Stegostoma tigrinum: one gene and its partners. The main gene of each other region encodes a partner of the protein of the gene in region 2 in a complex. Links are inferred from orthologs where the notes say so. Each region holds a gene or a part of one and is shown on either strand. Other genes may lie near its edges.

Region 1 (7,373 bases), on a different chromosome or scaffold from region 2:
GCTGTGTTCATCCAGCCTCACATTTTATTATCAATGATATTGCAGATGCTGGGATTTGGAATTAAAAGGGAAGGTCCCAGAGAAACTCAACATGTCTGGAAGTGTCTGTGAAGAGAGAAACATAGTTTACATATCAAGTCCGATCTGATTCTACCCTGGGCCTCACGTTGGTCACGCTGTGGTCTCATTTCCCATCTGCGTTTTGAAATTCCTCATGTTTCCCCGTGGTCATTTTGAATCTATAAATAACATATAATCCCAAGCAATCCATAGCCTTCAGTTACTTTATCTTCGCAGCTTAGCATGTACAATGTAACCTTGCGATCACAGGAAATTACTGCACAGAAAGAGGCCATTTAGCCTCTTATGATGATGTGAGTTTCAGCACCCTAACTGCAGCTGGTTATTCTGAACCTATTTGCCTGTCGATTGTGACTCAGCGTGCAGTGGCCTGGCTTCAGATGTTCAGCTCAAGTCTGTCTCTAGAGGCTTGAGTTTGTAAGTCAGGCCAACAATCCCAGAGTGGGGCAGTAGAACGTCAAGAGGTTCTTTATCCTCAACGGTGTTCATGAGGTGTGTGTAAGGGGGAGGGAAAGAGAGAGCGAGAGACAAACAGGTAAGCTTGACAAACTCCAGAAACGCAAGCAGAACCCAGTCCTGGTGCAGGTGATAGGGATCAGTGTCACAGAGGATCTCTAAGAGTCTTGCTGCTTTCCTCAGAGGCCTGCAAGGTAATCTTCCAGTCCAGGGTCTGCACATGGAGCAGGATGAACGTTTGATTTGATTTATTGTTGTCACACACACCGAAGTACACTAAAATGTTTTGTTTTGCATAGAGTGCAGGCAGATCATACATGGACATACAGATTGTAGGGCGTTTAGACAGAGTGAGGCATACAAGGTCAGGTTGCACAGGAGGTGCGCAAAGCAAGATCAACATTAGATTCGAAATTAGAGAGGTCCATTTAGCAATCTAATAACATCAGGGGAAGAAGCTGTTCTTAGAGTGATAAGGGTCATAGAGATGTCCAGCATAGAAGCAGACCCTTCCATTCAACTTGTCCATTCTGACCGCATATTGAAAATAAATCTAGTCCCATTTGCCAGCATTTGGCTCATATCCCTCTAAACTCTTCCTATTCATGTACTCATCCAGGTGCCTTTTTAAGTGTAAATGTACCGGCCTCGATCACTTCCTCTGGCAGCTCATTCCATATACACATCATCCTCTGCATGAAAATGTTGTTCCTTAGGTCCCTTTTAAATCTTTCCCCTCTCACCTTAAACCAATGCCCCTCTAGTTTTACACTCCCCAACCCTAGGGAAAAGCCTTGTCTATTCACTCTATCCATGCCCCCATGATTTTATAAACGTCGAAAAGGTCACTCCTCAGCCTCCAACACTCCAGGGAAAATAGCCCCAGTCTATTCAGTCTCTCCCTGAAGCTCAAACTCTCCAACCCTGGCAACATCTTTGTAAATCTTTTCTGAACCCTTTTAAGGTTCGCAACATTCTTCCTATTGCAGGGAGTTCTTGTATGTTTCTTTAGGCCTCTGTATTTTCTGCCTGACGGGGGTTTGGAAGAGATTGTTATTGGGGTGCGAGGGGTCTTTGATGATGTTGGTTTGCTTTCGACGACATTGAGAAGTGTAGATGGAGTCCATGAATGGGAGGTTAGCCTGTATGATAGTCTGGGCTGTGTTCACAACTTTCTGTAGTTTCTTACAGTCCTGGGAACAACAATTGCCGTACCAGGCCGTTAAGCACCCACACAGAATGATTTCTGTGGTCGATCGGTAAAAGTTGGCGAGGGTCCTTATGGGCATGCCGAACCTCCTCAGCTGCCTGAGGAAAAACAGGCATTGTTGTGCCTTCTTGATGGTCTTACCTATGTAGGATGATCAGGACGGATTGTTGGTTATCGTCACTCCTAGGAACTTAATACTCTCGACCCTCCCCACCTCAGCTCCATTGAAGTGCACGTGGCTTTTCTTCCAGTAGGTGCAGAGGGAGATCTCTGTGCCCAGCGGCCTGAAGAAAGAAGATGGCTCAGTAACGGCATCTCAGTCCGACATCCTGAGGATCAGCAAATCCTGTTGTGCCAGACTGTATGGAACTGTTTTACCATCTTTTGCACGTACACAATTCTTATGAATAAAGTATATTTTCTCCAGTACGGAAAAAGCCAAGTATCCCATATGTCTTCTGAACTACCCTATTGACCTGTCTTGCTACATTTAGGGATCTATGGGTAAGCACCCCAAGATCCTTCTTTTGTGTGTGGCTTCCTGGTGTCTGGGGAAACGCCTGTGGTCTTAAGGTCAGTCTGGATGGGCTGAATAACCTACTTTGGCACCTATGCCTTATGTAAGGCACAACAATAACACTTGGAAAGATTTACTGCCAGCTTTTTTCACAATTTCTAGTTTGTCTGCTCACGGCCCACATCGACTCTAGTCTCCTAGCCCATCTCAATCCCCTACAATTTGCTTAGCGACGTAACAGGTCCACAGCGTATGCTGTATCCCCAGCCCTGCACTCATCCCTGGAACATCTGGACAACAAGGGTACCAACATCAGACTCCAGCTCATTGACTACAGCTCCTCCTCCAACACCATTATCCCCGGCAGACTGATCTCGAAACTGCATAACCTTGGTCTCAGCTCCGCCCTCTGCAACTGGATCCTCAGCTTTCTGACCCACAGACCGCAATCAGTGAGGATAGGTAACTGTACCCCCTTCATAATAACATTCAGCACTGGAGCCTTCCAGGGATCTGTTCTCAGCCCCCTGCTGTACTCCATGCACACCTACGACTGTGTTGCCAAATTCTGAACAAACACCATCTACAAGTTTGCTGACAACACCACTGTAGTGGAACAGATATCTAACAGCGATGAGTCAGAATACAGAAAGGAGATGGAGGGCTTGGTGATGTGGTGCAATGAGAACAAACTCTCTCTCAATGCTGGCAAAACTGATGATTTATTTCAGAAAGGAGAAGACACACCCCCATCTACATCAACAGACCTGATGTTGACATGGTGACGATAACTGATAACATGTCCTGGCCTTCCCACGTAGAGACGATGATCAAGGCGGCACAACAGTGCTCTTCCTCCTCAGGCAGATCAGGAAATTTGGCATGTCCATAAGGTCCCTCACCACCTTCTACAGATGCACCCCATTGAAAGCACACTATCCGGATGCATAATGGCCTGGTACTGTAACTGCTCTGCCCAGGACTGTAAGAAACTACAGAAGGTGGTGTGTACAGCCCAGACCATCACAGAAGCCAACCTTCCATCCATGGACACCATTAATACATGGTTTGCTGCCACGAAAAGGGAGCCAACATCATCAAAGAGCCATCCCACCCTGGTAATGTTCTCTTACAGCCTCCACCATCAGGCAGCAGATATTACTTTCTGAAGAAGGGTCTAGGCCCAAAACGTCAGCCTCTCTGCTCCTCTGATGCTGCTTGGTCTACGGTGTTCATCCAGATCCACACCTTGTTATTCGCAGATTCTCCGGCATCAGCAGTTCCCACTATCTCAGGCAGAAGGTACAGAAGCCTTGAACACACCAATGGGCAGGTTCAGGAACAGCTCCTTCCCTGCCATTATCAGCCTGATGAGCGGACTCTCTAACCCGAAGTAACGCTGATCTCGCTCAGCGCACATTCCTGTGCAATGTAACAAAGTGTGAAGCTGGATGAACACAGCAGGTCAAGCAGCTTTTGTGCTCCTGAGACGCTGCTGGGCCTGCTGTGTTCATCCAGCATCTGCAGTTCCCATTATCTCTGCGCAATGTACCCTGTAGACCCCTATCTGAGCCTTTAGGATATGTACATCCCTTGCTTGCTATGATCGGCATGTACTCATAAACAAAGCTTTTCACTGTATCTCGGTGCATGTGACAATCGATCAATCAACAACTCAATCATCAATCATTCAATCTTCAGGGATAGTCTCTCAATCCTTTCAGTGATTCATTTGTGGCTAATAAGACCTGACCAAGCTGATTGCTGATTGGGGGAATGCGAACACCATCCTGTGGCTGCCCGTGGTTCTGATTGGGTAGACTGTGAATATAGCCCTTGTGATTGGTTTAATGTCCCCGTCTCTTATTGGAGAATCGAAGTCTAGCTACTGATTGGTCGTCTTACCCGCAATGTTCCCCAGATGATTGGCTACGTTATCCGGTCGCCCGCTCTGACTGGGTAGCTCCGCGCCGCTCGTCGTGGTGGCCTGACACTTGATTGGTCAGTTCTACCACCTAGCAGTAAAGCGGAGAACGATTGGTTGGGAGTAGACCCGAGCTTCCTCCAATGCCAGGGCGGTTTGTTGGCTTTTTGCTGGACGATGGCGGACCGCCTCACGCAGTTGCAGGACGCCGTGAACTCGGTGAGGGCGAGCGGCCAGAGTCCCGACTTGAGGCCGGGGTTAGCAGTGGGCCCGATGTGATAGCGCCGCTCCCGCCCAGCGGGTTATGGGGACGGGGGAGCGCCCTTCTGCGGGGCGGTCAGTCTTCGTGCCCACCAAGATGCCGACCAGGGCCAAAACACCCGCAACGGCTGAAGGCCGCTCCCCTCCTGTAGCCTGGGGTTCGTTTAATACAGCATCAAATACGCAGAAATTGCTGGAAAAAGCTGAGTAGGTCTGTGCAGGGTAACGTTTCGGGTCCAGTTCTGAGGAAGGGCCCCCTGCCCCTAAGCGTTAACTCTTGCCTTTTCCTTCACAGAGCTGCTGAGCTTTTCCAGCAATTTCTGTCTTTGTTCCTGATTCGCAGCGTCTGCGTTTAGAATCATAGATTCCCTCCAGTGTGGGAGCCGGCTCTTCGGCCCAACAAGTCCACACTGACCCTCAGACCGTCTTCGCACCCCCACGACAACCCATCTATTCCACCCTTCCCTGGACACTACGTGCAATTTCCCATGGCCAGTCCAGCTAACCTGCACATCTTTGGACTGCTGGAGGACGACCCCACTCTCACTCTCACTGTCTGTCTCTCTCGACACTCACACAATGTGCAAGCACTGAGCCACTGTGCCGCCCTGATCAGTCTTTATAAAATACACAGCAGCGGTCCCTTGACGGTGTGGTGCTCCCCTTCCTTCAATTGGACAGGCTATTTGAGGCACGCTGTCAAGCTATTTTCAACGCAGCGAGATATTGTGTGTTTGAGATCTTGCTGAATGTGATGGGTTCTAATCAGATTCTGAAATATGGTGAGAATTTTCAGATGTGAGTATCAAGGTAAAGACCTTGGAATGAAAATTGTCCCTTTTAAGGAATATTTAGAAATAGATGTATCTCAGTGGCATGAGGTTGCAGAAGACTTAAGTGTCCTTGTGTATGCATCACAAAAGGCTGTAATGTCAATTACTGAAGCATGCTTCAGCATTTAACGATGGCTAATTTAGTAATTAAATCTAATAGAATTTTCTTTTTGTTGCAAGGGATACTGAACATAACAAATGTAGAGCGATTATGCTTATTATTCAGGGCACTAGCTAGACTGCATCTGAAGTACTGTGCTCATCACTAGCCACCTTACTTCTGGTAGGGTGCAAATGCATTGGAAGCATTTTATAGATGGTTCACAAGACCGATACCTGGGATGGCAGGTTGTTTTGCAGAATGGTTGGAAACAGTAGGCTCGTACCAGCTGGAGGTTTGAAGAATATGTGACTTGATCAAATATTTAATCTTAATAGGGTAGATGTGAAGATGATGTTTTTTCTTGTGGGAGTATCTAGACTAGGGGTTACGGTTTAAAAATAAGGGGTGTCCCATTCAACAAAAGATGAGAATTATTTTTCCCTGAGGTGGAGTGTCTCTGAGCATCGCTTCCTGAAAAAGAAGTGGAAGCAGAGTCTTTGAATAGTTTATAAGGCAGAAGACATTAAATTCTTCATAAGCAAGGGGGTGAAAGGTTGGTGGCTTGAGGTAGGAGTTGGGTTTGAGGTTGCAATCACATTAGCCATCATGTTAAATGGTGGAGCGTGTTTGAGGGGCTGAATGGTCTGCTCCTTGTCTGTAAGTAAGTGTAATTTAGTCTGTTTCCACTCAGCTCTGATGTGTTTTCAGGTGAGCTACAAAACTGAATCAGAGTAAACACTGTTTACTGAACAGTTTGCTGTTTAGAATCTTTGCACGCCCACATGTTCTGTTTCATTTTTAAATTTGTCTTCCATCTTTCACACATCAGTGTGCTGTCAACAAATAACCTATGTAATTTGTATGAAGGGTAGGAGCCAACCTTGTGATTAGACTGTCAAACTTGTTCATAATTTGCACTGCTTGCCTTGATCTATGCTTTATAATTTGCTAGGGATAGAAAAATCCATTTGAGAATATTCCACCATTGAATTAGGTCATCACTGTACATAAACAAAACCCTCTCTTATACTGGAGATTGTCAATGCCCAGCATCATTACTAAAAAGAAAAACTAAGTCAGTGTTTCAGGTTGATGACATTTCACCAGAGCTGTCAAAAGTTGAGAGATGTAAACGATTTCAGGCAACTTCAGAGGCATGGTAAAAGAGAAGGGAACAAAGGAAGAAATGCTTGTGATAGTCTGAAAGGCAGGTCTAATTAAATGATAGAAGAGATGCTTATGCATGAGTTTCAATGAAATAACCAAAGAGGATGATTGGTTGAGTGGATGTCGTGCCAATCAGGCCGGCTGTTTTGTACTGATGGTGTCCAGCATCTTGAATGTTGTTAGGGCTGCACTCATTCTGGCAAGTGGGGAATATTCCATCACACTCCTGACTTGTGCCTTGTAGATGGTTGACAGCCTTTTCGGAGTCGGGAGTGAGTTACTCTTTGCAGTATTCCTAGCCTCCGACCTGCAAGTGTGTTATGTGACCAGTCCAGTTCAGTTTCTGATCAATGATAATGTCGAGGATGTTGATGGTGGGATATTCAGTGACTACAGCACTATTGAATGTCAAAGGGTGGTGGTTATTGCATGGCATTTCGATGACACTAATGTTATTTGCCACTTGTCAGACCAAGCTGGATATTGTCTAGATCTTGATGTATTTGGATATGGACTGCTTTGCAGTATATACTGTCTACAAGATACATTACAGAAATTCACCAAAGATCCTTAACATCATCCAAACCCACAACCACTTCCACCTAGAAGGACAAGGACAATAAATGCACGGGAGCACCAGCACCTGTAAGTTCCCCTCAATGCTGCGCACCTACTGATTTGGAAATACCTTGTCGTTTGTTTGAAATTGGAGAACTCCCTCCTGAACAGCATTGTGGGTCTACCTCCAGCACGTGCCGTTCAAGAAGACAGCTCACCACCACCTTCTCAAGGAGCAGGCAATAAATGTGACTAGCCAGCGA
Region 2 (8,276 bases):
CAAGGCCTCTTTGTTCAGCAATGATCCCCAGGTCCTTACCATTAAGTGTTTAAGTCCTGCCCTGATTTGCCTTTACAAGATGCAGCGCCTCACATTTACCTAAATTAAACTCCATCTGCCACTCCTCAGCCCATTGGCCCATCTGATCAAGATCCTGGTGTACTCTGAGGTAACCTTCTTCACTGTCCACTGCACGTCCAACTTTGGTGTCATCTGCAAACTTACAAATCATATCTTTTATGTTCACATCCAAATCATTTATATAAATGATAAAAAGCAGCTGACACAGCACTGAGCCATGTGGCACACCACTGGTCACAGGCCTCCAGTCTGAAAAGCAACCCTCCACCACCACCCTCTGACTTCTACTATGGAGTTAGTTCTATATCCAAATAGCTAGTTCTCCCTCTATTCTGTGTCATCTAGCCATGCTAACCAGTCTACCATGAGGAACTTTGTCAAATGCTTTATTTAAATCAATACAGATCATGTCTACTGCTCTGCCCTCATCAATCCTCTTCGTTACTTGTTCAAAAAACTCAATTAAGTTAGTGAGACACAATTTCCCACACACAAAGCCATGTTGACTATCCCTAATCAATCTTCACCTTTCCAAACACATGTAAATCCTGTCCCTCAGGATTCCCCTAAATTTATTCAGACTCCCAGTGTCCACCAGGCTCTAGGGTACTAAATTCCATAGACTCACAATCCTTTCAGAGAAGCAGGAGACAGAGGGTGGTGGGACAGGGCTGTTGTTCAGACAACAGGCCTGTGATCTGCAGTGTGCCTCAAGGTTTGGTGCTGGGTCCTGAGGATAGCTAGACAGAATTTTAATTATTAAAGGAATCAGAGGTTGTGGGGAAATGGCAGGGAAGTGGAGTTGAGGGTTATCAGATTTGACATGATGTCATTGAATGACAGAGCAGACTCATTGGGCTGTGTAGCCTACATCTGCTCCTTTTTCTCATTCATTCATGGAATATGGCCACCACTGACTATAGCCAGCATTTATTGGCCATCCCTAATTGCCAGAGGGCAGTTAAGAGTCATCCACATTGCTGTGAAATGCTGCTTCACCTAGAAAGACTGCTTAGGCCTTTGGATGGTGAGCAGGGAGGAAGTGAAGGGTGAGGTGTTGCACCTTCTGCAGTTACAAGGAAGGCGCTGTGAGAACATTGGAGGCACTAGGGGGGAGATCTCCTGAGGTAATGAGATCAGTGACAGTCCTAGCAATGATGGGTTGATGTTCGTATGTGGGGTCATGGTCCAGGGGCAGGTGGGAGGAAGTGTCAGAGAGATGGCATTGAGCCTCTGCAAGATAAAGGTCAGCGCTCCAGACGACAATAGCAACACCTTTGTCAACTGGTTTGGAAACAAAGTTAGGGTTGGACCCTGAGAGAGCAAAGTGCAGCATTTTCAGAAGGGGGCAGGACATTGATGGGGATCTGGAGTCATATGTAGGCCAGACCATTTAAGGATGGCAGATTTCCTTCCATAAAGGACGTTAGTGAGCTAGATAGGGTTTTCCCTGACAATGGTTTCATGGTCATTAGAATCTTAATACAGATTTTTTAAAATACTGAAATCGAATTCCACCATCTGCCATTGTGATGTCCTTTCCCCCACGACATTTCCTGGGTATCCAGATTAATAGTCTAGTGATAATACCAATAGGCTATCATCTCCCAGTCATGTGGTCTTACGGTTTTGACCCTTCTGCCAATAGAAATAGTTTCATGCTATCTGGGATAACAAGATGTAGAGCTGGATGAACACAGCAGGCCAAGCAGCATCTTAGGAGCAGGAAAGCTGACATTTCAGTCTGACATTTTGTGATTTTTAACACCTCATTCAAATTTCATTTAACATTCTCTGTACTGAGAAGAACTGCTCCAATCTCCACACTTCACCAATGTATCAATGTAACTGATAAATGTCCCTTGTATTCAAGCTTGAGATTCACAGCCTCAGCTTCCTAATGTCGATGTTTGGTCTTCTCAGGAAGAGGGAGACATGGGTCTACCAGGCTTGTAATTCTCTGACAGGGTGGCGAAAAGCTAAAGGCTTCAGATCTTTGGTGCTGAAGCACAAACACACACATTACAACACTGGCTCTATTCTTCAGACCTACTTCAATGTCCACCAAGAAGTTTGAAATAGACTGAGGACATAACTGAGGGGAAGAGCACTGACACATGGCCCAACACTGCCACCCAGCACAGCCAAGGGATTGCATAGTGACATCGCCCTCCACTGGGACCAACGGCATTAACTTTTAACATTATTTCGTAATCACTGATTTATACTGACCTGAGCTGTAATGTTGAACTTTTAACTTATTTCTTCATTCTTTTCCTCTTTATCTAAGATTTCGTACTTAGGTTCCTTGTGTCTTAGATGGCGCCATTGAAAACTTTTCACTGTACTTCTACATCCCTGTACATGTGACAATAAAAATCTAATTCTAATTCTAATTCTAAAATGCTGGCTGTTTCCAAATAGCAGACAGTGAATATTATTCAAACTTATGATTTTTGTATTTGATATAGAACAACAAAAGATGGATGTAAAAGATGTGGACATACATAATCATAAATAATATCTAGTGTCTAACTACTATATATTTAAAATGTGCTTTCCACATGCATCTTCTGTCTTATAAATTCTAACTTAACACACGTATTGTTATCAAATTGTAATTCGCCCATTGCCAGTGAAGGCACTGCTGTGCTAAGTTTTCACATCAAGAAAGATCTGCGTTTATATAATAAGGCGTGGAGCTGGAGGGATACAGCAGGCCAGGCAGCATCAGAGGAGTAGGAAAGCTGACGTTTCAGGGTTGGGACCCCCTTCAGAATTTTTTTTTCCGAAGAAGCATCCTGATCCAAAAAAAAAATCAGCTTCCCTGCTCCTCTGATGCTGCCTGGCCCACTGTGTCCCTCCAGCTCTACACCTTGTTATCTCAGACTCCAGCATCGGCAGTTCTTACAATCGCTGCATTTATATAATGCTTCTTTACAGAATATCTCAAAGCTTTGACAACCAACGAAGTGTAGTCTAGGGAGCATGTCAATATTTAGAGAAAGCACAAGTGAAGTGTGTCAGAGTTTACAAGGGTTCCCTGGGGTGGGACAGTGTATTTGTACTTGGGGGAGGCGATCGCCTCGTGGTATTATAGCTGGACTGTTAATCCAGAGACTCAGATAATAATCTGGAGACCCAGGTTCAAGTCCTGCCACAGCAGATGGTGGAAATTGAATAAATATTTGGAATTAAGAGTCTAATGATGACCACAAATCTATTGTCAAAGGTTGGAGGAAAAACCCATCTGGTTCACTAATGTTAATAAAAATTCCAAAGAGTTGCAGATGTTATAAATCAGGAACAAAAATAAAGTTGCTGGAAAAACTCAGCAGGTCTGGCAGCATCTGTGGAGGAGAAAACAGAGTCAACATTTCAGGTCTGGTGACCCTTCCTCAGAACTAGGCACGAATAGAGATTGGAACTGAAATCCCATCGGAGAAAGTAGAGCCTCTTCAAGGTGGGCATGCCTGGAAGAGATGTGGCAGTGAGTTAAACACTAAATAAAAACCAAAAGAACTGCAAATGCTGTAAATCAGGAGCTAAAGCAAAGTTACTTCCTCAGTTCTGAGGGAGGCTCACCTCCCTGAGGTTAACTCTGTTTTCTCCTCCACAGATGCTGCCAGACCTGCTGAGCTTTTCCAGCAACTTTGTTTTTGGTTCACTAATGTTCTTCAGGGAAGAAAGCTGATCTGGCCTACATGTGACTCCAGTCCGACAGAAATGTGGCTGACCCTGGGTAATAAATGCTGCCCAGTCACTGGTGGGAACAGTCAGCTAATTACCAATGTGTGCATGAGGGAGTGTTAATTCCCCCCAGTCTCATTTCCTGTTAATGAAACAAGGATTGAGACATGCGCATGCGCGATTCTGCAACAGTTCCCCGAGTAAGGGCTAATGGGAACTGCAGATGCTGGAGAATTCCAAGATAATAAAATGTGAGGCTGGATGAACACAGCAGGCCAAGCAGCATCTCACGAGCACAAAAGCTAACGTTTCAGGCCTGGACCCTTCATCAGAGAGGGGGATGGGGAGAGGGAACTGGAATAAATAGGGAGAGAGAGGGAGGCGGGCCGAAGACGGAGAGTAAAGAAGATAGGTGGAGAGGAGAGTATAGGTGGGGAGGTAGGGAGGGGATTGGTCAGTCCAGGGAAGACGGACAGGTCAAGGAGGTGGGATGAGGTTAGTAGGTAGATGGGGGTGCGGCTTGGGGTGGGAGGAAGAACCGGTTAGGGAGGCAGAGACAGGTTGGACTGGTATTGGGATGCAGTGGGTGGTGGGGGAAGAGCTGGGCTGGTTGTGTGGTGCAGTGGGGGGTGGGGACGAACTGGGCTGGTTTAGGGATGCAGTGGGGGAAGGGGAGATTTTGAAACTGGTGAAGTCCACATTGATACCATATGGCTGCAGGGTTCCCAGGCGGAATATGAGTTGCTGTTCCTGCAACCTTCGAGTGGCATCATTGTGGCAGTGCAGGAGGCCCATGATGGACATGTCATCTAGAGAATGGGAGGGGGAGTGGAAATGGTTTGCGACTGGGAGGTGCAGTAGTTGGTTGCGAACTGAGCGGAGGTGTTCTGCAAAGCGGTCTCCAAGCCTCCGCTTGGTTTCCCCAATGTAGAGGAAGCCACACCGGGTACAATGGATACAGTATACCACATTGGCAGATGTGCAGGTGAACCTCTGCTTAATGTGGAATCATATTCCGCCTGGGAACCCTGCAGCCTAATGGTATCAATGTGGACTTCACCAGTTTCAAAATCTCCCCTTCCCCTACTGCATCCCTAAACCAGCCCAGTTCGTCCCCTCCCCCCACTGCACCACACAACCAGCCCAGCTCTTCCCCTCCCCCCACTGCATCCCTAAACCAGTCCAACCTGTCTCTGCCTCCCTAACCGGTTCTTCCTCTCACCCATCCCTTCCTCCCACCCCAAGCCGCACCCCCATCTACCTACTAACCTCATCCCACCTCCTTGACCTGTCCGTCTTCCCTGGACTGACCTATCCCCTCCCTACCTCCCCACCTATATTCTCCTCTCCACCTATCTTCTTTACTCTCCATCTTCGGTCCGCCTCCCCCTCTCTCCCTATTTATTCCAGTTCCCTCACCCCATCCCTCTCTCTGATGAAGGGTCAAGGCCCGAAACATCAGCTTTTGTGCTCCTGAGATGCTGCTTGTCCTGCTGTGTTCATCCAGCCTCACATTTCATTATCCCCGAGTAAGGGCGCTGACTCGCTACGTCACTGTGAGTGGCAGCCTATCTACCCAATGGGACGCTGTACCGTGCCGCGATTTGCGGCTGCTTTAACCAATGGGAGCTGGCCTAGCCTGGCCTGGCCACGGCGTTCGGCGGTGGCGGTGAGTACGCGAGGTCGGGGATGTGGCCTGTGCCTCTCCGAGCCCGGCTCTGCGCCGGCGGCTGAGATCTTCCCCACGGTTTTGTACCGCAACATTGGGAACTCCGCAGGCGGTTAGTCCTAGATCATTGGAGAGAGATTCGGCCTCCGCACCTCCCTTTCTAGTTATCCCTGTACCCCCCCGTTGTGTGGGGGTGGGGAGAGAATGTTTCCCGTTCCCCCCTTCCCCCGGTCAGGTGGGGAGTGGGTTACCTAATCACCATGTCTGTGGAGGGTAGGGGCGTGTTATTCCCTCCACTGTATGAATGGGAATGGGGTGGGGTTTAATCCCCCCCCCGCGTCTGTGTGGGGTTTAATTCTCTCCCCCCCCCCCCGTCTGTGTGGGGTTTAATTCTCTCTTCCCCCCCCCCCCCCCGTCTGTGTGGGGTTTAATTCTCTCTCTCCCCCCCCCCCCCCCCGTCTGTGTGGGGTTTAATTCTCTCCCCCCCCCCCCCGTCTGTGTGGGGTTTAATTCTCTCCCCCCCCCCCCCCCCCCCCGTCTGTGTGGGGTTTAATTCTCTCCCCCCCCCCCCCCCCCGTCTGTGTGGGGTTTAATTCTCTCCCCCCCCCCCCCCGTCTGTGTGGGGTTTAATTCTCTCTTCCCCCCCCCGTCTGTGTGGGTTTTAATCCCCCCCCCCCGTCTGTAGTTTAATTCCCCCCCCCCTTGGTCTAGGAGGGGGTTAACCCCCGCTGTCTGGGGGAAAAGTGTTAATACCTCCTGTCTGTGAAAAGGGGTTAATATCTGCTGTCTGTCTGGGGGTTAATCCCCTCCCATCTGGGATGTGGAGGTTAATCCACGCCCCCTTCCCCGGTCTGGGAAGCGGAGTGTACTAGCTATAAGGAGAGGTTGGACAAACTTTGATTGATTTCGTTGGAGCATCAAAAGCTGCAGGCTGACCTGAAATAAAATTATTACAGACACAGATGGGGGTAGTCAGTCTTTTCCCCAGGGTGGAAATGTCAAATACGAGGGGGCATAGGATTAAAATGAGATGGGGAAAGTTAAGGAGATGTGAGAACAGTTTTTACACGTAGGGTGGTAGGTGTCTGGAACACATTGCCAGGGGCGGTGGTAGAAGCAAATATACTAGAAACATTAAAGAGGCAGTTAGACAGACACATGAACAGGCAGGGATTAGAGAGATATGGACCATGTGTGGGCAGATGAGATTAGTTTAGAATTAGAATCCTTACGGTGTAGAAACAGGCCCTTTGGCCCAACAAGTCTACACCACTTCTTGGTGCATCCCAACCAGACCCATGCCCCTTTTACCCACCTAATCTACAGAGCCTTGAATTTTACATGCAATTTAGCTTAGCCAATCCACCTAACCTGCACATCTTTGGACTGTGGGAGGAAACCAGATTACCCGGAGGAGAGTGTGCAGACTCCACACAGACAGTTGTCCAAGGGTGGAATTGAACCTGGGTCCCTGGCACGGTGAGGTAGCAGTGCTAACCATGGAGCCACCATGTAGCCCTAGAATGCTGGTCAGCACAGACATGGTGGGCCAAAGGGACTGTTCTCGTGCTGCTCTATATGTTTTATATAAAGGCTTGGATCACAGAATGGATTTTTATGACAATCTGACAGCTTCATGGTCATATACTGACAGCTGTAATTTATTGCCAATTCATTTTAAATAATTCTTGAGCTGCTTGGTGAGACTTAAACTTTGTATTGTATGCATTATTCTGAGGCTGCTGTGATTTCTACACAGACTCGATGTGATTAAGTTCTGAGGTGGCCTAGTCAGTATCTGCTTGAAACCAATACACAGAATAATAAGCCATTCAGGCGTGCAAGAGGGAAGCAAAACACAAGGGAATTAGTTTATGATCTGGAAATGACGAATGCAGGGTTATGTGGAGAAGGCACAAGATGAATTGCTTATTTGGAGAGCCAGCCAAACAGTGGACTGAAAGACCTCCTCTGCATTGTATTATATCTCTGAACACAAACTGTTCACAGTGCCTGAACTAACCCAGGTGCTTCATAGGAACGTCTGTCAGACAGATTTTGACATTGAGCCAGATGAGGACATAACAGTAAATGAATTTTAATGAATATCTTAAAGGAGGTAACAGAGCTTTTGAGATTTAGGAGAGGGATATTGGTGATCAGGGCCTTGTCAGCCAGAGGCCCAGTTGCCAGTGACAGTTGGAGATAAACAAGAGGCTGAGATTGAAGGGGTTCAGTGGTCTTTTAGGGCTGGTGAAGCTATGTAAATAGGCAGGGCTGATGCCTTGGAGTTTAAAAACAAGGATGAGAATTTTAAAATTAACACAAAACCAGAGGATAGGCTTTGAGTGGCAACTTTGCTGGATTGAAGACTAAAACCAAGGTTTTGAGGTTGTTCCTTTTTTTTTCCCCTTTTGCAGATCCAGTTACATTGAGTGCAATGGGTGAGCCACAGCAGGTGAGTGCGTTGCCTCTGCCTCCAGCACAGTACTATAAGGAGTACACAGACGACAATGTCCGCAAAGGCTTTGCTCCTAAGCCACCACCTCCCATCAGGGACAGCTACACTATGTTTGGCAACCAGTTCCAGTGCGACGACTTGATCATCCGTCCATTGGAGGGCCAGGGCATCGAGAGGCTCCACCCTTCACAGTTCGACCACAAGAAAGAGCTCAAGAAACTCAACATGTCAATCCTGGTGAACTTCTTGGACTTACTGGACATCCTGATCAAAAGCCCCGGGAGCATAAAACGAGAGGAGAAACTGGAGGACCTCAAACTCCTGTTTGTTCACATGCATCATCTGATCAACGAGTACCGCCCCCACCAGGCCCGG
Region 3 (7,315 bases), on a different chromosome or scaffold from region 2:
ATTGCCCACTGATTATTTGGGTGCTTCTAATATACTGATACTGAGTCCTCCCTTTTTTATTTCTAACTCACTGGCACGTTTACTGGTGTGTATGAAGCCTCTCAACAGTTGTGCGGTGCACAGCTTTATATATGACAAGTAACATTCACACTACACAAACGCCAAGCAATGACTGTCTCTAACAAGAGAGAATCTAACAATCCTTCCTTGACATTAAATGGCATTACCATCGCTGTATCCCCCGCTGTCAACATTCAAGGGAGTCATAACTGATCAAAAACTGAACAGTAATAGTTACATAAATAACATGGCTATAACAGCAGGTCAGAGGCTGCAACTTCTGAGAGAAGTAACTCACCCTGTCTCCCCAATATCTGTCCATCATCTACACACACACGTCAGGAATATGACAGAACACTCCCTACTTGTCTGCACAGGTGCAGTTCCAACTATACTCAAGAAGCATGACACCATCCAGGACTAAACAGCCCAAGTGATTGGCAATTTAACCAACACCATGAAACACTGTGGCTGCACTGTTCACTGTTTACAACTCACACAGGGTCCTTAGAAAATACCTTCCAAACTCTTGATCTCCACTTCCTAGAAGAGCAAGGGTAACAGATACATGGAAATTCAAACGCCTGCAAGTTCCTCTTTAAGCCATTAACATCCTGACAACAAACCATGTCGCCATTCCGACAAGATCACTCAATTAAAATCCACTGACGTCACATGGGCTGCAGTGGTTCAAGAAGGCGGCATACCACCACCTTCTCAAGGGCAATTAGAGATGGGAAATAAACGCTGTTCATCCTGTACACCAGCATCTCTTCAAATAAAATATTTTAAAATATGCATACATGTAATTAAAGAAAACTTTTTGTCAAAGCTGATGAAATTCAAAATATTTATTGAGATGTTCACTTTCGATAGCTTCAAATTTAATCACAGTATCCCCACTGTGCGGACAGAGTCCATTCAACCCATCGAATCTGCACTGACCCTTGGTACTGCATCTTTTCAAGACCCAGCCATCCACCTGATCCCCATAACCCTGCTTTTACCATGGCTAGTCCACCTAGCCTGCACATCTGTAGACACTATGGAACACTTGAACATAGCCAATCCACCTAAACTGCACATCTTTGGACTGTGGGAGGAAACCAAATCAACCAGCAGAAACCCAAGCAGACACAGGGTGAACATGCAAGCCCCATGCAGACAGGCACTTAAGGCTGGAATCAAACCCTGGTCCCTGGTGTTGTGAGACAGTAGGGGTAACCACTGAGCCACCGTGCCACCTCTCTCTCTTCCCACCAAATGCAACAATTACTCACCACAATCCCTGTAGATGGACTGAGATCCAGCTCAATAACAAAGCGGTATCGCTGAGCAAGGAAGGTAATAGTGGTTGAGGGTACCAGTTGGTACGTTTGATCAGCAACTGGTTCATCTGGTTGCCAGCCTTTTGGTAGGACACTGAGAACATCCAATTCATTGTTGGAGTTGCTCTGTAAGAGAGAAAGGATAATTGTGAGATGCATCACAATGGCATATGTTACAACTATTATAAAGCAAAAAGGAATAAAAGGACTTCAATTACTGAATAAATGAAAGATGCTGAGATTGTTCCCCTTAGAGATTAATAAGAAATTTGATAGAAATGTCTGAAAAAGCTTACAGATAGGTTCACTCCAACACTGCCAGGATCTATGTCCACTGGCAGAAGGACAAAAATAAAACACCACCAATTTGGGTTGATTAGCAAAATCAATGTGAGGAAAAAACTTCTACGCAGGGAGTGGTTACAATTTCAAATGCACTTCCTCAGAATATGGAGGAGGCAGGTTCAAAAGGGAACTGGATCAACAGCTGAAGGGGGAAAAAAATTACAGATTTTCTCAGAATCACTAGGGCTTCCCATCATTGCATGATCAATCCACAATCTTGGGTAATATCAGGAGATTTTGCATGTTGGCTCAGTGGCTACCAGCACTCTATTATGTCAAACTGAGCCATGCAGACCAAGAAGGTCCCAATTTCAATTCACAAATATTATATTTTTTTCACTTCAGTTGGACGCTGTGTCCTTTGTTTGAGTCGGTGGTGGGGGAGGGCGGAAAAAATTAATGAGTTCACATTCTCAGTCATTTCAGAAAACAACAGGGCAATTACATTAGTGTAATTATCTATTCTAACATGTCCTGAAAATACTTGTGTTACAAATAGATATTTTAAACTAAGAACATGACCATCTAATTTTCTCCCAATGTACTGAGATTGCAATTTACTTTTCATGCAAAGATTAATACACCATATTAGGTTCCCACTACTTCATCCATGTTCTCACAAAGAGGTCACAGAACAATTCAAGGCACCGTTTCACTCACAAGCTCTGACGTGGACATCGGTCGAATGCTTTGATTCAGTCTGTTGAGAAACCAAGCTAATCTTACATTGCGGGAAATCCGATATTCCTTCTTCATAAGCAAGAAAACCTGTCCTGCTTCTTCCACCTGTCAAAACAAAAGTATGTGACTTGGAACTAGAACTTTAGGTCACCAGAAGCTCTACTAGTATACAAGATCACACATTAATAAGACTATAAATACTTGGATGATTTTGCATCAATGAGATTTGAGTGATTTTCTTTCTGCTCCTTAGTTTGCTTTCTTTCTTTGGTCCTTCGATTAACTTCTCATAAAATTAAGCAACTAAGGCACTCAATGGAAGTCCATTTTACACTTCATCAGCAAGAAAAAGGTTATTAAATCAAATATAGCATTTCTAATTGGAAGTAGATACCTTCCTATGTCTCTCTTTACTTCTTGCAAACATAGAAAATAGGTGGAGTAAGCATTCTTTCCTTCAAGCTTGCACCACCATTCAATATGATCATAGATGATCATGAAAAGTTCATGTTAAACCCAAAAGAGAATTTACTACTTCTATTTTTTTTCCCCTGATATTCAGAACCAGACATTTTTCAGTAGCCAAACACAACCATTTTGTGAAACATCACAATCTCCCAGCAGGCAAAGAAATATTTAAAAGCATCAGAGTTGTTATCCTGCAAGTCTGATGTGACATAAAGCCAACTATATTAGTTACAGGAAACATCTTGTCACAGGACATGATCTGATCGTTGCACTGGAGCTCCAACTAAACACACCCTTTGATATCACCAAAAGAAATTTCCAAACATACAACGCATACTCACCAGGTATATTTCCTCAAAATTCCACAGGTTCCAATGGCTATATTTTTGTCAGTCATTTTTTTATACTATTGCTCCAAAAATTAGCTCCTACATTTGCTGTGGTTTGATATTGCTTTTTTATCATCTACATACCAGCTTTAGTTAATTTTATCCAAATATACTAGTTTTCTGATATGATATGAGTGCTTATCTGCACAATTAGCAAAATTTGAGGACCTTATAAACAAGACTTAAAGCGCATAGACCCAGACAACATGTGTCAAGATTCCATGGTGTGAGGCAAGCAGATGTCTTCTGCTTGCCCAGGAAGCATTTCATATTTTGACTGTTAACAACAAGTAGCACAGGCAGCGTATAAAAGCCCCTACAAGACACTGTGGTTTGTTGATTCACAGGATGTCGGCATCACTGGCCACCCCAGCATGTGTCTGTCGTCCATCACTGAGGATGCAAATTCTAGCCACGCTGGAGACAGTGGGAAATAATTTATCTCAGGAGTCCTCTCCAAAGTTGGGTCAGCTGATGAAACTCGGAGTTCACTGATGACACAGCAACCTCCTCCAGAACAAACACGGGAGCTGTCATTGCTGTTCTGACAGTCCCAAACGCGTATTTATTCATGTGCAGCTCACTGGGTTTTTAACTCTCCGACACGAGAAGAAAAAAAACAATCAGACGGAGAGCCGTAAATCCTATGCTAGCAAAGTTTAAGGAGCTGCGTGCAGAAGGCAGGGTCGCACGGACCTTACTGTACATGTCCCGTGCCCTCCACGGGGCCGCCCCTCACTGTTTGCTGACACCGCACCCCAACCTGGGCCCTTCCCTTTACCTCGGAGTCTCTCTCTCCCCCAGACATGCTCGATGGCCGCTCTCATGCCCACCGGCCGGCCGGCCTTCCGCCCCGCCGCCTATCGATTAGAATCGCAGCACTCTGCCGCTCCCGGTTCATCTCCCGGCACACCGCCCCCCTCCCCCAATCAACCTACATACACGTCACCTCTGACCCCTGGCCCCGTCGCCCGGAACCGGAAACCGGGAGGTAGCGGCTGGGGTTGCCATGCAGGTAAGGGGTCGTCAGCGGGACTGGATCGTCCCCTTGAGCTCGACCCTCACAGTAACTCATTTGTCGGAGGAAATCACTTCCACTCGTGTTCCCCCCCCGCCCGAATCCATCCCGTTTTCCCCTCGCAGTGTAGAGACTTTCAGTCCTCAGCTCGTCATGGCATTTGTGGGCTGGAGACTCGAAGAGAGCAGGACAGGCTAAGCAGGCACATCAGCTCTGGACTTGATCAGTGTGTGTGTTAACTACGAGAACATCGAGATTTACGATGAGGCTGTGCGTCACGTTAGTTAGGCCGCAGCTGAACTGTGCGCATTTTTGGTCGCTGTGCGGTAGGAAAGATGTGATTGTGCTGCAGAGCGCGTAGAGGAAGTTTCACCAGGATCAAAAACGGCTGTTGCTGGGAAAACTCAGCAGGTATGGCAGCATCTGTGGCGAGGAAGCGGAGTTAAAGTTCGAGTCCAGTGACCCTTCTTCAGAACTGATTCACCGGGACGTTGCCTCGGCTGGAGTGATTTAGCTCTGAAGAGAGGAAAGACAGGCTGGGGTTGTTTCAGAGCAGAGAACAGTGATCCACCTTATTCAGGTGTATAAATGTTTGAAGGGTAGATAGAGAGGAACTTTTCCCCTTAGCAGAGGAGTCAATAACCAGGGGTGCAGTTCTACAGAAAGCAGCAGGAAATTTATAGACTAATTGAGGAATTTTTTTTCACTGAGGGTGGTTGGTATCTGAAGCTCTCTGCCCTGAAGGGTGGTAGAAGTGGAAAACCTCAATTAATTTAAGAAGTATTTAGATGAGTACTTGAAATGTCGTAGCATACAAGGCTTCATGCCACATGTTGAAAACTGGGATTACAGTAGATAGATGCTTTGTGACCAGCATTAGCATGACGAGTTGTAGTGCCTCTTTCCATCATAGAATCCTACAGTGTGGAAGCGGTCCATTGTGTTATCCCAACCAAACTGCTGTCCCATAACCCTGCATTTCCCGTGGCTAACCCATCTATAGCCTCCATATCCCTGGACACTATGGGCAATTTAACATTGCCAGTCTACCTAACATGCACATCTTTAGACAGTGGGAGGAAACCAAAACACCCAGAGGAAACCCATGCAGACTCAACACTGACAGCTGCCAGAAGGTGGAATTGAGCCCAAGTCCCTGGCAGTAGGAGACAACATTGCTAACCGCAGCCGTTGTGCCACTGCATGTAGTAAAAATGCCAAGACTTTGTGGGATTTTGCTGTGTGCAAATTTCGCTGCTGCATTTCTGACATTAAGTGACTGCACATCATTTCCAGCATCTGCAATGTCTTTTGATTTCAATATAAAATATCATAAAGGCACTTTAGGAGATGTGGTGTGCATAGAAAGGGCTTTATGATAGAGATCAATTGGAAATGTGGGTGGAGAAATGGTGTTTAATCCAGACAAATGTGGGGTAATGCATTTTGGGAAATCAAATACAAGAAAAAGCATACAATTAATGGTAACACCCTGAGGAGCATGGATACACAGAGGGATCTTGGAGTCCAAGTCCATGGCTCCCTGAAAGTAGCAACACAAGTGAATAAGATGGTAAAGAAGGCATACAGAATGCCTCCCTTCATTGGTTGGGACATTAAGTATAAAATATGGCAAGTCACGTTGCAGCTGTATAAGACTTAAGACTTTCTTTAGGCCACATTTAAACTATTATGTGCAGTTCTGGTCTCGACACTGTGAGAAGGATGTGGAAACTTTGGTGAGGTTGTAAAAGAGGCTTACCATAAAGAAGGGAACAGACCCAAAACGTCACCTTTCCTGCTCCTCTGATGCTGCCTGCCCTGCTGTGTTCATCCAGCTCTACACCTTGTTACCTTTACCATGATATCATCTGGATTGGAGAGTATTAGCTATGAGGAGAGATTGGACAAACTTGGATGGTTTTCACTTGAGCTTTGGAGGCTGAGGTGCAACCTAATAAAAGTATATAAAAATAGGAGAAGCATGGATAGGGTGGATAGTCAGGGTCTTTTGCATGCATGGAAATGTCAAATACTACGGGGAGCAAATGTTTAAGTTGAGAGGGGGAAAGATTTGTACAGGGTGGTAGGTGCTTGGAACATGCTGCCGAGGAGGTGGTAGTAGCAGATATGTTTACAAACTTTAAGAAGTGTTTAAGCAGATACGTGAACAGGCAGGATGTAGAGGGTTACAGATGATGTGGCAGCATCAAAGCTGGTAAAGACATTTTGCTCCAAAGGGCCTTGTTTCTATGCTGTACTGTACTATGAATGCAAGTCTAGTTCTTCAAAGGAAGAAGTACTTGCATCTATGCTGCACTTTTCACTATCTCAGTCTTAATGCAGCTCTGCAGGATGTTACAGTGGAAGCAAAATATTACAGATGCAAAAAATCAGATCCTAGAGAAATGAAGTGTAGGCCCTATTGTTCTGTAGGAAATGCAGCAACCAATTAGTGCAGAGTCAAAAATAGAAATTGCTGGAAAAGCTCAGCAGGACTGGCAGCATCTGTGGAGAGTAAGCAGTTAACTTTTTGGGCTAAGTGACCCTTTCTCAGTTCTCAGGGTCACTCCAAAAGTTAACTCTGATTTCCCTCCACAGATGCTGCCAGACCTGCTGAGCTTTTCCGGCAATTTCAATTTTGTCTCTGACTTACAGCATCCATAGTTCTTTTGGTTTTTAATTAGTGCAGATTGCTTGACAATGTGATAGTGACCGGATAGTGTTTGCTGAGATTAGTTGGAGGATAATTGTTGGCCAAGACACTGGGGATGGTGCTTGTTTTTCTCATGGTGTCATTTTTATTTGTGTTCATCCAGTAGCTCCGAACTTTAACATATTATCTGAAAGACCTCATCTCTGATAGTACTGTGCTGGGTGTTATCCTAGATTTGTGTTTTAACATCTGGAGTGGGACCAAGTGAAACACCTTTTGACTCACTCAAGAGTACTACAAACTGCTGCAATTGATACATACTTTTATATAAATTCTGTAAATGGTGCAAGATGTCATTAAACACCACGCA

Evidence for each region. Proteins that work in one complex are often made in the same cells at the same time.
Region 1: the proteins of med7 (region 2) and med21 are in contact, whole or in part, in a cryo-EM structure (PDB 7EMF), measured with the Homo sapiens proteins. The link is inferred for Stegostoma tigrinum from reciprocal best matches to the Homo sapiens genes MED7 and MED21. Residues at the interface, in NP_001094286.1 of Homo sapiens: Phe72, Asp73, His74, Lys75, Leu78, Arg79, Asn82, Ile85, Leu86, Phe89, Leu92, Leu93, Leu96, Phe116, Val119, His120, Ile123, Asn124, Tyr126, Arg127, His129, Gln130, Arg132, Glu133, Leu135, Arg136, Met139, Glu140, Gln142, Lys143; in NP_004255.2 of Homo sapiens: Asp3, Leu5, Thr6, Leu8, Gln9, Val12, Asn13, Leu15, Ala16, Phe19, Ile23, Ile62, Ala66, Ile69, Asp70, Ile73, Asp74, Leu76, Pro77, Ser78, Glu79, Ser81, Ala83, Gln86, Ser89, Leu90, Leu93, Glu96, Asn97, His98.
Region 3: med7 (region 2) and med8 share a complex: the UniProt entries of both Homo sapiens proteins name them as parts of the mediator complex. The link is inferred for Stegostoma tigrinum from reciprocal best matches to the Homo sapiens genes MED7 and MED8.

The regions. Positions count from the first base shown.
Region 1 is NC_081371.1:59,248,932-59,256,304, forward strand, and holds the start of med21 (mediator of RNA polymerase II transcription subunit 21), read left to right. Parts: upstream 1-4,305; 5' UTR 4,306-4,365; coding exon 4,366-4,407; intron 4,408-7,373. UniProt on the Homo sapiens protein: Component of the Mediator complex, a coactivator involved in the regulated transcription of nearly all RNA polymerase II-dependent genes.
Region 2 is NC_081366.1:12,400,238-12,408,513, forward strand, and holds the start of med7 (mediator of RNA polymerase II transcription subunit 7), read left to right. Parts: upstream 1-5,219; 5' UTR 5,220-5,350; coding exon 5,351-5,552; intron 5,553-7,860; coding exon 7,861-8,276. UniProt on the Homo sapiens protein: Component of the Mediator complex, a coactivator involved in the regulated transcription of nearly all RNA polymerase II-dependent genes.
Region 3 is NC_081361.1:79,769,674-79,776,988, forward strand, and holds the start of med8 (mediator of RNA polymerase II transcription subunit 8), read left to right. Parts: upstream 1-4,247; 5' UTR 4,248-4,280; coding exon 4,281-4,286; intron 4,287-4,295; exon of another isoform or gene 4,296-4,700; intron 4,701-7,315. Other genes in the region: KICSTOR complex protein SZT2, read right to left, coding at 1,341-1,514, 2,394-2,519, 4,053-4,079. UniProt on the Homo sapiens protein: Component of the Mediator complex, a coactivator involved in the regulated transcription of nearly all RNA polymerase II-dependent genes.